Ovis aries: one gene and its partner. The protein of the gene in region 2 purifies or fractionates together with the protein of the main gene of each other region. This does not show direct contact. Links are inferred from orthologs where the notes say so. Each region holds a gene or a part of one and is shown on either strand. Other genes may lie near its edges.

Region 1 (4,203 bases), on a different chromosome or scaffold from region 2:
AGCGGCCGGGCCTCGTGCTTGAGGAACCACTGGTGCGCCTCGAAGCACTTGGCGCAGATGAGCTGCTCACACTCGAAGCACCAGTAGTGGGCCAGCTCTTTGCAGCGGGTGCAAAACGCCTGCTCGCGTGCGATCTGCTGGTACACCGACAGCCGCCGCTGCAGGCTCTCGAAGAAGACGTTGTCCAGGGCCTGCGCGCCGGCACCTGAGGGCCAGGGAGCCTGGCAGACGGGGCACTGTATGCCGGACTCCTCCAGGCATCCTGAGCACAGCGTATGCAGACAAGGCAGCAGCTTGGGGCACTTAGCTTCTGCCCGGCAGCCCTGGCAGCGCAAGAACTGGAACTCTTCCTCCGTGGCTTGCTGGGGAATCAGGGAGGGAGGTGAGACGTGAAGTCCCAGGAAGCCCCACCCAACCGGACACCCACCCTGTGGCTGCACGCTGAGAGTGGCACTTCCTGTTTCATACCAAGCTGTCAACGGATGACACAAAAACCCAGCCTTATCAGTATCCCAGTCCTCCATTGACTTAGGCCTTCTCACGCTCACTCCATGATTTACTGAGCATCCGTTTCTCATAAGACACAGTACCAGGCCCCAAGATACACGGATGTATAGCAGCAGTCCCCAACCCTTTGGGGACTAGGTTACCGTTTCCTGAAAGACAGTTTTTCTATGGGTGGGGTGATGTAGGGATGATTTAAATGCATTATATTTATTGTGCACTTTATTTCTGTTTCCACTGTGAAAATTCGGTAGTGCAAGTGATGAGAGCGGCTGTAAATACAGATGACGTTTTGCTCTCTTGCTGGCTGCTTGCCACTGTAAGCCCGGTTCCTAATAGGCCAGGGCAAGTGACAGTCCGTGGCCTGGAACTTGGGGACCCCTGATTCCAGGACAAACCCCTGCCTTCACAGGACTTTAAAAAAGGAGATTCATTAAATGTGTGTCATATAACCTCACAAAAAATGCTTACTGCACTTTGATGGTTCCTCAAAAACTTAAACATAGAACTACCATAGGACCCAGCAATTCTACACCCAGCTATATACCCAAAAGAACAGAAAACAGGATCCAGATGCTTGTACATCCATTATTCTGTACACAGCATTAGTCACAGTAGCCAAGGAGTGGAAACAACTGAAGTGTCCATCAACAAATGAATGGATAAACAAAATGTAGTATATACATACAATGGAATGTTATTTGGCCTTAAAAAGGACATTCTGATACATGCTACAACATGAAAATACCTTGAAGACATCATGTTAAGTAAAACCAGCCAAACACAGAGACAAATACTGTAGCATTCCACTTATATAAAATATCTAGACTAGGCAAATGCAGAGACAGAAAGTAGATTAGAGGTTACCAGCAGCTAGGGGGAAGAGGGAGAAGGCAATGGCACCCCACTCCAGTACTCTTGCCTGGAAAATTCCATGGACGGAGGAGCCTGGTAGGCTGCAGTCTATGGGGCCACTAAGAGTAGGACACGACCGAGCGACTTCACTTTCACTTTTCTCTTTCATGCATTGGAGAAGGAAATGGCAACCCACTCCAGTGTTCTTGCCTGGAGAATCCCAGGGACAGGGGAGCCTGGTGGGCTGCCATCTATGGGGTCACAGAGTCGGACATGACTGAAGCGACTTAGCAGCAGCAGCCAGGGGGAAGAGGAGAATGAGCAGCTTAAAGGGTACAGATTTTTGTTTCAATGAAAAAATTCTGAAAATTGACTGTGGTGATGGTTACATTGTGGAATGCATTTAATGCCACTGAATTGTACACCTAGAAACAGATAAAACATAGGTAACATAATACAGTACCTGGCACGTGAGAAATACTCGAACATGTTAACTAGTATGGTAAATATTATTCCTAGGTGTTATAATGCAACAAATAAAAGTTAATGCAATATTATTTGTACTTTCATGAAGGAGAGTAAAAAGGGGCTGGAAGAAAACAGAGCAAGTGATCTAAGCACTTCCTTTGGGGGTGGGGAGTTTGTGCAGGAAAAGACCAGTAAACCCTTAAAAAACTCCTCAGGATGGGGGTTGAGGGAGCACGGTGCTCCAGGAAAAGGATCCAAGTAGCTTCCTAGAGGAGACACCACAGGAATCCTGGGCCTTAGCCAAGACACCTCTTTCCCACTTTCTGATCTGAGGACAAAGATTCTGGCTTGTCCACACCTGGAGCTTGTCCGGGTCTGCCAGGCGGGTGCGATAAGACTATTACTTCCATTTTCCTTAACAGGTGGTCCTTCATCTGAGGTAGGGGATAAGAGGCATGTCGCCAGCTTGGGCGGAAGAGACTTGGGCGGAAGAGTCTGGTCCGGGGTGCCACTCACTCTTAGCATCACCCCGCTGCTCGTGGAGAATCGCAACCCAGAGAGACCTCTCCCCTCAAACTCATGCTGGCCCCCTTTTCTACTTTCCACGACCCCTAACCCAGCCGAGAAGATCAGGACCCTCGCACCTGGTCTCCCTTCTTTACGTCATTTTTCAAGGTACTTGGTCAAGTTCCCCAGTCCCTCTATTCCACCGACCATACGTAATTAACAAAGCCCCAACCCCATCTCCCAAACGCAGTAGTACCTCTGTGGGGCTGTCGCTATGGCTGGACTGGTGGCCTTCGGAGAGTGCCTCCGGGGGAGGCATGCTGGGGGAGTGGGGCAGTGCGGGGTCCTGCTGGGGCCCCGGAGATCCGGCAGGTTCCGGATCCTGCTGCATGGAATCCAGCGCAGTTTCGATTCTCAGTTTCGCTCTTCGAGAGCGGAGAAACTGAACCCGAGGAAGGCGCCAGAACACTGAGCTCCCGAGCAGCCCTAAAGGGGAGGTGCCAGCTCAGGGCCCACCTCCCAGAGGAAGTGAAACACTAGCTACCGGCGGTTCTAGGGTCGGAGAGGCTGGCCCACGGTCCTGAAGACACGCCCAGAGCGGCGAGGAGGGAGAGAAGAGCAGTCACACGCAGGACAGCGGCAGAACTGATGTTTGTGCAGAATGGAGGCCGTCCCTGCCCTCGGCTTGGAATCTTTCATTCAGCTCACATTGGCACAGCTTCGTGCCAGCCCTCAGCTGGGAGCAAGAGCCACACAGCCGGGCCACGCGTGGCTCCTACTTTGGGAAAAAAAGGGAAAGTGTTAGTCTTCTAGTCGTGTCCGACTCTTTGGGACCCCATGGACTGTCGTCTTCTAGGCTCCTCTGTCCATGGGATTCTCCAGGCAAGAATACTGGAGTGGGTAGCCATTCCCTTCTAAAGGGGATCTTCCCTACCCAGGGATGGAACCCAGGTCTCCTGCACTGCAAGCAGATTCTTTAGCGTCTGAACCACCCCAGATCTAATGCAGGAGCAGTCCCCCAAAGGGAGATTTTCACAGTGTTGAGACTGGCTGGACAGGAGATCACTCAGCTGGGATTTGAAGTGATGGTGGGAATTTGCCAGGGATTCAGAGGCTGGGGATGGGTGGGCAACACTTAAGACCGAGAGAACAGCATATGCAAAGCCATGGAGGTTTGAAACAGAAGCTGTTTCGAAACTAGTTTTGAAACAAGCAACTCATTTTGGTTATTTTCAGATTCAAGAGGGGACCCATGCATGATGTCAGACCAAGATGGGCTGGGCAAGATGAGGCTAAGGAGATGGACCAGGGCTATGGACCACAGAGAGTTGGTGAAGGGTTTGAAAACAAGCAACCATGTCCATTGTGTATATTGGGACAGTCTCTCTGACAACCTAGGGCCAGGTGGTCTGGGACAGTGGCTGTGGGATGAGAGGAGGGACCCGAGTCAGACTGGGAGGACGCTGAGTGGAGATGACGGCATCAGGATGATGCCTGATGTGACAGCAGAAAGGGCTGGTGGATCTGAGGCAGTAGGGAATGGGGAGAGCTGGTGGGCAGGTATGAGAAAAATGAGGAGACAGCAACTTAGCAATGGGTCAAAGGAGAAGCCCCAGCTCTCAGCTGGTGAGGGGAGAAGGCACAGCTCCAGGTGGCATCACTGGGCCAGTGCCCCTGTCTTCAAACCTCAGTGCATTCCATTCATTGTGATGACTCCCATGGACCCATTTTGTGTTCAGTTCCAGCTTGGGACAGATTAGAAGGGCAGTGACAGGACTTTGCTCTTGTAAAACTTTAATAGTTGGGGGTGGGGTGAACTTATAGTTCAGGGTCAGGGTGGGAGGATAGGGGAGAACTAACTTCATAGGG
Region 2 (3,646 bases):
CAACCACCTCCTCCTTGTGCACCAGTGGTGGCTGATCAAAGAACCATAACATTTACATTATCAAAAAATGAAGAGATGCCAGGAAATGATTCCAAAATTCTTCCTTCCTCAAAAGAATTGGCTTCTCAGAAGGGGAGTGTAAGTGAGACGATCGTCATTGATGATGAGGAGGATATGGAAACAAATCAAGGGCAAGAGAAAAATTCCTCCAATTTTATTGAACGGAGACCATCTGAGTCTAAAAACAGAAACAATGATGTGGATTTCTCCCCTTCCAGTTTTTCAAGAAGTAAGGTAAATGCAGGAATGGGTAATAGTGGTATCACCACAGAACCAGACTCTGAGATTCAGATCGCTAACGTTACGACCTTAGAAACAGGCGTCGGCTCTGTGAGTGATGGCCAGTTAGAACACACTGACGGGAGAGACATGAACCTGATGATCACACACGTAACATCTCTGCAGAATGCCAGCTTGGGAGATGTCTCTAATGGACTGCAGTCAAGTAATTTTGGTGTTAATATGCAAACATACACCCCGTCTTTAACTTCACAGACCAAGACTGCAGTAGGACCTTTCAATCCTGGTAGAATGAATGTGGCAGGAGATGCATTTCAGAATGGAGAGTCTGCAGCTCATCACAACCCTGGTAAGCAGTGAGGGTCCTCTCCCACTCCCCCTTTAGGGGTTGTTTACAGGCAGGTTCTTCTTTCATTGTCCTAATTGGTGCTACTTTGGTTAGTTTACTCATGTAAGGTGTGTTAATTCTATTGACTTTGAAGTTTCAAATTTTAACTAATAAGAGATGTAAACTATGTATGTAATATTTCTCTGTAGAGTATTAGAAAATTAATCAGAACAAAATACTCTTTATATTTACTATGCTCAAATCTAATAATTTGGCATCCTGTTTGTCATGTACTCATTTTATGCTCTTGTGTTTTTAATGGTATGGTTTTAATGTGCAAATAGAGAATGAAAAGATACTTAGTACATGTGAGGAACAATATAATGTATAGTTGCATTTAGATTTGTGTTTAATTTTGACTGCCTGTCTGATTTTAATTTTTACTTTTTAGCACTAATTTTTTTTTAATATGTAAAGATTGGTAAATTTCTTGACTATTTGAAAATACTTTCTGCAGGCAGCTTTACTCTGTGGAAGCTGTGAGAAGAGTTCTGTGGCTTTTCCTGACCATGTGAGGCCTGCCTGTCTCTCGTGTACCTTCTCTTCTTAGGCTTCATCATTTTAAGCTCGTTAGCAACTTTATCAGCCTAGGATTGTGGGGAATAATAAGAAATGACTGAAACCGAGGCTGTGTAGAATGTTTTGTGAAATGCTAGTTGTTTTTCTTACTTATTCTTTTCGGTTATGATAGTAATGTCTAATTACTGAAGAATATTTGGAAAATCCATAATTAAAAAATAGGGGGGAGAAACCCATATGAGGTGATTAACTGAAGGTTACCTACCACTGTTGATAATGGTTTGAGTGGCTGGTTCTCATTCTTTCTCCTTTGTATTTCTTAACTTGTTTGAGTGCACTTCTTCATAATGTTCCTTCTTGTTTTCCCTCCATGTAATGTGGCTCTGTATTTTTTCATAACACTAAAATTGTTTATACACGGAAGTTGTAATGACTGCACATTGGATTTTGTTATACCAGTCGCCATATTTGGCTTTTACACCATTTTCCTTTTTTGCTGTTGTTGGTATATGATGAACTTTTTTCCCCTCAAATTTCTGATGATTTCTTAGCATTTACTCCTAGAAGTAAAGTTACTGGATCACAGAGTGTCACTGCTTCCATCTGTACAAAGATCATTGGTTATAAAAAGGTTCTGGTTTATAGTGATTTTGAAAAAAGTATGTTTCTTAATACTCAGTTTTGAAAAATTCTAATGTCTCCCAAGACCATTTCCCCTTGTATGTATTTACATATATTTGTTGGTAGGTCATTGATGTGTATATGTGTATGTGAACTTGTGAGAGCATTTTTAAGTTGTGGAAATAGTTTGTCATGCTGCCTTCTGGAAAGGTTTTACCAATTTAAATGGCTATCAGCTGTATATTAGAATATCTTTCTTTCTGGCTCACATAAAAGTTTAAGACATGATAATAGTCAAATTAGTTTCAAACAGCTATTTGTCTCTCATAATTTTAAATATATTAAAAATGTATGAAAAAGAACATAGTGTGCAATCTTTACTGTTGAGGATGGTACATTTAATTGTAACCTGGGATTGCAGGATAGGTCTAGCTTTGGACACTTTCCCTTCCTCCCACTCCTTTAAATAAACAGTAGATCTTTTAACTTTTGACCATATCAAGAGTATATGTTTGATTTTGTTAATTCTCTATTGAGTTCAATTCCAGTTTTTAGTATTTAAATGACTCTTCAGTTCAGTTCAGTCACTCAGTCATGTCCAACTCTTTGCGACCCCATGAATCACAGCACGCCAGGCCTCCTTGTCCATCACCAACTCCTGGAGTTCACTCAGACTCATGTCCATCGAGTCGGTGATGCCACCCAGCCATCTCATCCTCTGTCGTCCCCTTCTCCTCCTGCCCCCAATCCCTCCCAGCATCAGAGTCGTTTCCAATGAGTCAACTCTTCGGATGATGTGACCAAACTACTGGAGTTTCAGCTTTAGCATCATTCCTTCCAAAGAACACCCAGGGCTGATCTCCTTCAGAATGGACTGGTTGGATCTCCTTGCAGTCCAAGGGACTCTCAAGAGTCTTCTCCAACACCACAGTTCAAAAGCATCAATTCTTCGGCGCTCAGCTTTCTTCACAGTCCAACTCTCACATCCATACATGACCACTGGAGAAACCATAGCTTTGACTAGATGGACCTTTGTTGGCAAAGTAATGTCTCTGCTTTTGAATATGTTATCTAGGTTGGTCATAACTTTTCTTCCAAGGAGTAAGCGTTTTTTAATATCATGGCGGCAGTCGCCATCTGCAGTGGTTTTGGAGCCCCAAATAATAAAGTCTGACACTGTTTCCCCATCTATTTCCCATGAAGTGATGGGACCAGATGCCATGATCTTCGTTTTCTGAATGTTGAGCTTTAAGTCAACTTTTTCACTCTCCTCTTTCACTTTCATCAAGAGGCTTTTAGTTCCTCTTCACTTCCTGCCATAAGGGTGGTGTCATCTACATATCTGAGGTTATTGATCTTTCTCCTGGCAATCTAGATTCCAGCTTGTGTTTCTTCCAGTCCAGCGTTTCTCATGATGTACTCTGCATATAAGTTAAGTAAGCAGGGTGACAGTATACAGCCTTGACATCCTCCTTTTCCTATTTGGAACCAGTCTGTTGTTCCATGTCTAGTTCTAACTGTTGCCTCCTGAAATGGACTGGAATGGGTGAATTTAACTCAGATGACCATTATATCTACTACTATGGGCAGGAATCCCTTAGAAGAAATGGAGTAGCCATCATGGTCAACAAGAGTCCGAAATGCAGTACTTGGATGCAATCTCAAAATGACAGAATGATCTCTGTTCGTTTCCAAGGCAAACCATTCAATATCACAGTAATCCAAGTCTGTGCCCCAGCCAGTAACACTGAAGAAGGTGAAGTTGAACAAGCGTATGAAGACCTCCAAGACCTTTTAGAACTAACACCCAAAAAAGAT

What was found. Proteins that work in one complex are often made in the same cells at the same time.
Region 1: the proteins of ZMYM2 (region 2) and PML purify together in Homo sapiens (affinity purification with western blotting; 3 studies listed by BioGRID, with this or other methods). This does not show direct contact. The link is inferred for Ovis aries from reciprocal best matches to the Homo sapiens genes ZMYM2 and PML.

The regions. Positions count from the first base shown.
Region 1 is NC_056071.1:32,280,566-32,284,768, forward strand, and holds the start of PML (protein PML), read right to left. Parts: upstream 2,805-4,203; 5' UTR 2,726-2,804; coding exon 2,591-2,725; intron 363-2,590; coding exon 1-362.
Region 2 is NC_056063.1:36,407,907-36,411,552, reverse strand, and holds part of ZMYM2 (zinc finger MYM-type protein 2), read left to right. Parts: coding exon 1-649; intron 650-1,145; coding exon of another isoform or gene 1,146-1,171; exon of another isoform or gene 1,172-3,646. UniProt on the Homo sapiens protein: Involved in the negative regulation of transcription.